Tribolium castaneum: one gene and its partner. The protein of the gene in region 1 interacts with the protein of each later gene in a pairwise test. Links are inferred from orthologs where the notes say so. Each region holds a gene or a part of one and is shown in the gene's direction. Other genes may lie near its edges.

Region 1 (4,593 bases):
ATTTCAACTATCGGTACCCAGGACATTGCTCGCTATTTTTGAATCACCCTGTATAGGTACATATATTTTTATAATAATGTTGACAACTTTTGATTGTAAGTAAATGAATAATTTAATTTTTTTGGAAACTTATTTTGGAAGATAGGAAAACACAGGTTGTCTAGTGAAGAAATGCAAATATTTCGACCAAGTAAACTGATCTTTTATATTTTTATTAAAACGTTTTTGTTTAAAAACCCACTCTTTATAAAATTTAACATCCAGTCGTTTTTTTAAAATAACCATCTAAAACAGTGGAAATTGTAAGAGTGTAGAACACTGCTATTGTCAAGAGGTGCTATGAAGGGCCCGTTGACACTGTTTCATAACTTACTAGAATTTGAAAACCCACTCAACTTAGAATTTTTTTCTCTTGTCATTTTTTCTAAAATGTACAGTTTTTTAGCAAAATAATAATTAAATGTAGAAAAATGTAGTTATTTTGTTGGCAACAAATTCCAGCAGCCCCTTAAATCAAATTCAAAATACCCGATATAATCACCGCGATCATGAGCACCACAAAAGACCCCGAAAACAGCCCCACTTTAAACGTCGTCCACGGAATTTGCTGTTCCCCCAAGGGCGGAACCCTGAGCCTTTTCATAGCCCTTTGCCGGTCGCCCCCTTCAAGCTCCTGAGTAACCGTACACTCAGTCTCTCGAATTAATCGGTCGATGTCTTTATTCGTATGAAAATGCGAATTTTCCACATGTTCCGCTCGCCATTTCGCCCCTACATCTACATTTAACAACTGCAACGTAAAATTACCAAGATAAACTTCCAACTTCCGTCACGTCACCTACTTTATCATGCTTTTTCAGGATTTTCCGAAACCCAGTAAAATTTAAATTCTGGTAATTTTGCAACAGTATTAGACTTAAATAAAATTCGCTAAATGCTAACTTCAACTCTTGTATTTTTTTCGCAGGTACGTTTTTCTTTCTTAGAATATTATTTTTTATAGAATTTTTCTTGCGTGGATATTCAACATCCTGAGCTTCAGTGAGATCACTTTTCAGACCAGCGTATTTGCGGGTCGCTTCGGCCAATTTTTCTAAAATTGTGTCAGAAAAATTGAATTAAAATAAAAAACCAAACAGGCGCTACTTTAGCTCGCAAAAAAATCAGAAAGCGTTGGCACTACTATTTCTTTTAAAACGAAAATGCCTTTTGGCGCTTTTACCAGAATAAAATGTATTGATCTTTGTCAGTTCCTTATCACAGTAGGAGAAAAACTGTTCGTCGAATTTTGCAAAATATCGGGTCAAAATTTCAGGCTCAACCAATTCCGCAGACGGGGCTTGTTCCACAGCAGCGTACAACATTGCCTTCATCTCCTACAAATTTTGATTTGTTTAATGAACTACCCCAAAGGCAATTAATTTTTTATCAAACTTACCTCGTAATTTATGTATTGTTTCCTCCATTCTGGAGTTATATGAGCACAGAGATGTTCAGTAAATTTCATTATTAGAATTCGATTAACCCATTTAGTTGTTTATTGTTGTGAAACTGACATTTTTGATAACTGGTCAAAAATCACAGTGACGTCGCGACGCCTGACGTCTAACATGACGTAAAGATTACTACTATACCGACTTGTCGTAAACATAACCTCCAAAAATCGAGTTTGAAAAATCCCAAGCATGGGTTTTTATCGAAAACGTATTATTAATTATTTAGTCAGAACGGTTTGTTATCATTAATGGAATTATTCCCGTCATAGTTTTTATAATTTTCCAGTATTCAACGAAGATAAAAACTCAGGTTATACCGGACGAAAGCGTTCTAAATAAAATTGAAAAAAATGTGTATACCCCCAAAAACCACCCAGGTCTGTTTAAACCACGCTTGATTCCTGTCCCAGAAGCGTTTATAAAGGCTGTTACTACTGTAATCGCAGGTAGACATAACCTTAAACACCTTAAACTCCCTGGATTTAGTACAATGTTTATTCTTTAGATTATCCAATAAAAGCATTAATAGAAGATGGTAAAACGTTAATTAACCATTTAAAATCCAAGAAACCCCCCGTAGAGAAGGACGAAATGAGGAAAATCGAACGCATAGTGTACCAGAAAGTGATGGAAAAACAGAAAATTCCTCCACTGGAAAGTGAAGAAGACAAAATCAGATTCCAGCAAGTGGTGGATAATAAAGTTCGGAATGTTTTGAAATCAGGATTTTACAACTGGAAACCTGTACATTATACTCCATATGAAGCTTTGGTTTATTTGATGTCCAGATCAGCTCCAGAGTTTTCCGTCCTGGCACGAATATTTCTGGAAATTGCTGAAAGGGATCCAGGGTTTGAGCCTAGGAGTTTGTTTGATTTTGGGTCTGGAGTTGGGACAGTCACGTGGTGAGTACAATACGCAGCTTTGTTAAAATTATCACATACTTAAAAAACATTTTTCTAAATTAAAGTAATATCGTTTGTAATAAAGTAAGGATGCATTTTTAACACATTTTTTAACGTTCTCATAAACGCTTAAAATTACGCTCGTAATTTTTATCTAACATTTTCACAATTCATTATTAATATTAATGTTATTGTAGTTTACAAATAGTTTTGGGTAATAACTAATCACTAATTACCCAAAATTGTACCAACTAGAGTTTCTTTATTGGGAGAGTTGGGACACTGAACGTCAAACCGAGCCAATTTTGTATTATGTGGATAAGGTATATATTTCTATCCTTTTTTATTAAAATTTTTGTTAGTAACTTATGTCAGAGGTTTATGTCGAAATTAATTTCAAGGTTATAATTTTTGTCAAATGCATAAAATGACATAATTTTACGTCAAATTTAACCAGGGACGTAGAAAACGTAGAAATTTTGGGATTACTATTTAAAAAAGAAAATAATTGAATACCTACTAATATTAATGTTCACATTTCTGAAATTTTTTGATATTTATTTTATTATTAAATACATAACTTAAAACATACTTCAGTGCTAAAAATGCTTTTCTTTCAGTCACAATTTTTAGTTAAACATCTCGTCCCAAAAATTGGTCATCAAGAACCCTTCATATTTTCTGTCGTCTTTTTAAATTTTCTAAAAAATGATATTGAAGGTGTTCTCGTATGAAAAACGTAACAAAATCGTGAATTCCCAATAACTTTCACGTAGATGCTAAAGGCGGCCAAGCAGCGACAGGTTCAACTTTTCTAAAAATTAGGACCAATTTTGGGTTCAAGTACCTACATATTTTATAAATGCATAGACAAATTCCCAAAATCTCATAGATTTTGTACATAACATTATTTAGACAATCCCCTTTTCCAAATGCTTGTTAATAATAAACGTAAAACTCGTCACGAAAGGTTCAATTTGTCTCTCTTTCATTGATGATTACCGTTTCTTAAAGTTAAGGAAAAATGTTTATGATGAAGAGTTTAGACGTAAAATTCTTGTACTTGCAAAGAAATCTCTTTTAAAATTTGGAGTTCATATAAAAAAAGCAGTGAATTGACGACGACTGCCAGTCTAAACCATTTCTAAACGCAGTTAGTCGACGAAAAATGGAGACATTTTTTGACAAATTTATTTGACTTTTCGTCAAATTTCAAGTGTAACACCACTGATTTCTATCCCAATTTGTTTTTTTACACATTCCAACCGACGTAAATGAAACAAAATTTCGAAAATTGACATTCAGTGTCCCAACTCTCCCAATATAGGAACTCTAGTACCAACATTCTGTAACGTAATAAATAAATAAACTCAAAAACTTGGTTACAATTATATAATTGTAATCAAGTTTTAGAGTTTATTTAAAAATGCTGATTTTTCCAAAAAAAAAGAACAATGTTAGTATATGAAAAATTTGGTTTTGCTGGTAAATAAAAATTGGTACTTTTCAGAAATTTTATAGAAATAAAATAATTAAATGCGGCAAATTCAAATTCCAGAAGCACCTGAGATCCTACACTCTTTTATAAAAAAAGTATTAATTCTGTTATACTAATTAATTACTGAGAAAAAATATTAAAACAATAATTCTTTGTTATAACATAAAGCAGGAATTTTTAATACATTTTTTTTAGTTATCCTAAAACTTTTTTTTATTATACTTGTAATTTTGTATATGTCAGTCTTGTATAACTACAATTAAAGTTTTTAGAATTCTTTACTACGATTTGAAAAAACTTAAAGATAAAAAGTTTGCTAGACTTTTGCAAGTTTACAAATAGTTCTGGATAAATACACAAAATTGCAGCAAGTCACTGATGTTTCTGAGTTTTTTTTTAATTTTAATTCATTTATTCACTGAAATAGTTTTTGTAAAAGATTTCTCTGAAATATTAATCTTTCTATTTAAAGTTTAAAATAACGCATAATTTTTTTATCTTTGTTAGCGGTCAAATTTAAAAAATAAAAAATAAAATGCTCCATTTTATAACGTTATTGGTTTTAATTTTAATTTTAGTGCTCTTGATTGTACAGTCTTTAATATTTCTGGTAAGTACAAAAAAATAAAATATAAAAATATTAAATAACGAAGATATAAAAAATATAATGATTTTTTTTTAACAAATTTTTGTT
Region 2 (4,396 bases), on another chromosome or scaffold:
CTAAAAATGATAGTCATCTGAAAATTTGTATAGGACCATAATCATTAAAGTCCTGCTCAATGAAAATATTTTCAAGATGGTTATACCGGAAGTCACTGTTAACTTCCTTATATTAAATCCAAAGCTATAGTTCATTTTTTTAAACAATCAACTGTCAGTGTCAAAATTCTAATAAAGACCAGACTGTATCACCCTAAAAGTTCATGTCCAACCACTTTTGAAACTGGCTGTATTCTGTATTTGACATTTTGAACACCAGATTTGAAATTTTTTGAAAATTGGACGTTAGTGTTAGTCGTTAATTCGTTAGTGTAAAGGTGGTCTAAAATAACTAAATGTGTTGTTGTACGTGTTTTAAATTAGAGAGAACTTGAAAAATTTGGCAAATGAATTTTCCAGGTAAAAAATTACACCAACCTTAATTCAAAAAAATTGCTATTTATGATAATGGCAACCTGACAGCTCTTAGACAGTTGATTATAAAAAAAATCGACTATTTTCGGTTCACTTTCATAAAAACCATTGTGGTGGAATTGACTAACCTGTTACCATGACAACTCATATAAAAGTTAATGCCAAGAGTACCAAATTTCCACCACAATGGTTTTTATGAAAGTGAACCAAATATATTTTTTAATGCGTTTTTGCATTACTGGAGTTATTTTAAGATAGTTTATATAAGCTTTCCCTATATTTAATCGTTTACGAAATATTCAGGGTTTTTTTTTTGGATTTGTACCTTCCAGTTTAAACATCGATAAGTATGCCATTTTAATTTTGCTTAATTTATTGTTTATTCATTTTGATTCTTTTCAAGAATTGTTTATACAGAGTGCTCAAAAATTTGCGCACCAACTTGGTGGTACTTTGTTAAGAAGCATGTGTACATTCCGGAAAAAAAATTGAAAAAATTCCTTAAGTCGTATTTAAAAAAATCTGGAGCTACAAACTTATTTTGTTAACTTCTTCAGTTTTCATTATTTTTAATGATTTTTATGTTTTACACTAAATAATCGTTTCCTAATAAAACGAATAATTATTTTTAAATTTACTATCAAACAGCAGTTTTTTGAATGTGATTTCATCAGAAGAATCACAATTTGTAGATCTGCCAACACTGGGAATTATTTCCTCGGAAACAGATTCAAAAATAATTTATCTTACTTATTGAATTTTAGAAACTTGTTTAGTTTATAGTTAGGGTCAAAAATAACATTTTAAAGACATTAAATCATCAAAAAAATTGGTAATAGTATGGTTTCTTTTTTTGGAATTGCATTTTAAATACAGCGCTAGTTTTGCCACTATTGCGCCATCTTTCCACCAATAAGGCGAGACAGTAGTGAAACGCGGCCGGCTTTAAAGATTCTTACAAGCAAAGAAAAGTTTGCGTCTAAGGTTTGCGTATTTGGTTCGTTTATTTATTTAATTAAATAAGCATTCTTTTATCAAGCGATGAAGTAAAATTTTGCTATTAATACATTGAGATATATCCATTTCATAATCATGGCTAATGGACCGATTGCTGAACGCAACAGAGGTAAGTTTTCGATTACTTAACCTCACAAATTCCAATAAGTGCCGGTGTTTTTTGTGTTTTTGCAGATGCAACAATTTACGTTGGTGGTTTAGATGATAAAGTTACAGAATCGTTATTATGGGAACTGTTCGTCCAATCTGGCCCCTTGGGTAAGCATAATTTTTGTAATAATTTACAAACCAATTTTTGTCCATTTTAGTCAACGTTCACATGCCCAAAGACCGCGTAACAATGATGCACCAAGGCTATGGTTTTGTGGAGTTCATGGGTGAAGAAGATGCTGATTATGCCATAAAAATAATGAACATGATAAAGCTTTATGGAAAGCCAATAAGAGTGAATAAAGCATCAGCCCATCAGAAGAACTTGGACGTGGGGGCGAATATTTTTATCGGGAATTTGGACCCCGAAGTGGATGAGAAGCTGCTTTATGATACATTTTCGGCGTTTGGTGTTATACTTCAAACACCTAAGGTAGGTCAGGGATGCTTATTTCAGTCTGTTGTAACAAAATTTTAAATAAAAACATAATTTAGTGTAAAAATACCATTTTCGACTAATTTTATTGTTTGTTTGGTGATATTGTTCAAAAAAGTTGTGTTGTTAGTACAAAAACACTGTTAAAGGCCAAAACTAACTATAATTTTTGGCTTGGTTTGATACATCTATGACCGATTTTTAACGAAAACTTGGGACATTGTTTTAAGTGACAAACGTGTTAATGCAAAAATTGGTATTATAAAATTTACATTACATTTGAAAAAAAAGTTAAAGGTGCCTGCAATTGACTTGTTTCCGGAATTTTCACAAAAATCGTATGTACTTATCAAAGTAATGGATTTTATACTTGTTAAAAATTCCACTCTGTATCTAATTCTGTAACTGACATTGGCATACCAAAATTTAAGCCACTATACAAAAATTCTTAACGTCGGAAGTCAGTGTATTCTGTCGCTCCTTTACATTTGCGTAAGTGAGAAAGAAATAAAATTTGGGAAATAATGTTGCTTAAAACCAGTTAACATAAAATTTATAGTTTTATAAATGATAATAAAGAATGCATGTTAAAGTGAAGGTATAATAATAAAATTGCAATTGTGCATTATTTACTTTTTTATCGAAGATACACTAAGTTAACATCGATAAAAGCGTTGTCTCAGCTAAAACTTTCGAGCCTGATATCTCAGATATTTGTCAACGGATTTTCATGAAATTTAAAATGCAGATATTTTAGAAGATAAAGATTAAAATCCAATTAATGCAAAAACTCAAGTCTTAAAAACGAATTTTTACATGCCTTTTTAAAATGTTAAGCCTTTTAAGACATATTAAAAAATTTATCGTCAGTGAAAAATGCTGTCAGAAAAAACTCGTTCGTGGAAGACATCTGTTTCGCGAGAAAAATGAGAAACAAACTGTTAAACGTGGGTACAGATGCAAAAGCGTAGATCTCTATGAGACAAATGAGCACTACCATCTCTCACCCATACAAAGTTAAAAAACAATATTTTTGACTTACTTTTGGTACTGGATGCTTTAATTCTTTCAAAAAGGACGAAAAGACTGAACAACAACTGAAAAATTCTAGACACTTGAACATTCAGGACTTTGGAAATGTTTCGTACACTGCTGATTGGATTCTCTTCAAAAGCTTGAATTACAGCCCCAACTATTGCTTCGTTTCCAGTGACGTGTTTTGTACTCACTCGATTTAGTTCAGGTACGCTTCCTGTGTCTTCAAATTATTGACGATTCTTTGAACTTGAAATTTCATAAATAACATTTCACAAAAAGTCCAACGACACTTTCCATAGGCGAATATTGATTCCTTTTTCAACAACACAGAAATCTCAGCCATTGGTTGGTTTTTAAAGTAATTTCACCAAATTAAAACAATTTTACTTTTCTGATAGCTCGCAAACTTTTGACAGTTTTTTTCAGTGGTACACAAAATGCCGCATAGAAATGCTTCACCAATTGTTTCAAAAAATGACTGCCCAAATTACAATCAAAATTTGGATTAAGTTTTTAACAACAAAATTAATTTCTTTCTTGGATCAGCCGATCGATTTGGTTAATTTTTTGTGTGGTCATTTATTTTTCGGAGTTTAATGATCCAACGGTAATTTGGCTTTATTTTAAACAAAAGAAATGTTTTAAAATTTCATTTCTTAACTTGAGGTCATTTTTTGCCCCTAATTGAAAGACAACCTCCTAAAATATGTGCATTCTAATTTGATAACAATCCGGTGACAAATAACGGAATTGTATATTGAAATGAAATATTGCTTTGTAACATCCTTCATGGCCTTAATAATTATAGACATATGGTAGCGCTCAGCTCCATTTGCGTGTGCGTCATCTGACATTTCTGTCACTACGTTTACATAGCAGGGGCATAGCGGTGACAAACTATCAAATATTTTTTGAGGTTACGAAGTGTTTAAATTATGAGTTGTTACAAAAAATACAGATTCACAAAACAAGAACTAATAAACGCAGAATCAAAAACCTAACGAAACGCAAATCACAAAACACAATAAACGAACAGAAAATACTTGTGATTAACACCGATAACATTTTCGACAACCAAGCGACGACGTCTGTAATTTACTGTCAATGTCAGTTTGACAAATTCGTGACACTTGACGGTGTTGTCGAAGTGCACATGTAAATCAATGTTCAAGGATACCACCCTTAGATAGCCCTTAACTGTTTAAATTTGCATTGTTTTTGATAATTTTTTTATAGCTTTGTGTTGGTAATGAAAAAATGAAATTGATGACGCACACGCAAATCGAGCTGACCGCCACTATACCTAACTAGGCAGAAAAATATCGATAATTTCTTATTTCT

What was found.
Region 2: the proteins of methyltransferase-like protein 17, mitochondrial (region 1) and splicing factor 3B subunit 4 interact in binary tests that used the Homo sapiens proteins (3 or more experiments, as listed by UniProt). The link is inferred for Tribolium castaneum from reciprocal best matches to the Homo sapiens genes METTL17 and SF3B4.

The regions. Positions count from the first base shown.
Region 1 is NC_087394.1:11,237,586-11,242,178, reverse strand, and holds the start of methyltransferase-like protein 17, mitochondrial, read left to right. Parts: upstream 1-1,598; 5' UTR 1,599-1,685; coding exon 1,686-1,730; intron 1,731-1,782; coding exon 1,783-1,942; intron 1,943-2,001; coding exon 2,002-2,401; intron 2,402-4,593. Other genes in the region: PXo (solute carrier family 53 member 1), read right to left, coding at 529-790, 843-1,093, 1,223-1,376, 1,439-1,507. UniProt on the Homo sapiens protein: Mitochondrial ribosome (mitoribosome) assembly factor. Binds at the interface of the head and body domains of the mitochondrial small ribosomal subunit (mt-SSU), occluding the mRNA channel and preventing compaction of the head domain towards the body.
Region 2 is NC_087395.1:2,316,459-2,320,854, forward strand, and holds the start of splicing factor 3B subunit 4, read left to right. Parts: upstream 1-1,358; 5' UTR 1,359-1,506; coding exon 1,507-1,540; intron 1,541-1,605; coding exon 1,606-1,689; intron 1,690-1,739; coding exon 1,740-2,014; intron 2,015-4,396. UniProt on the Homo sapiens protein: Component of the 17S U2 SnRNP complex of the spliceosome, a large ribonucleoprotein complex that removes introns from transcribed pre-mRNAs.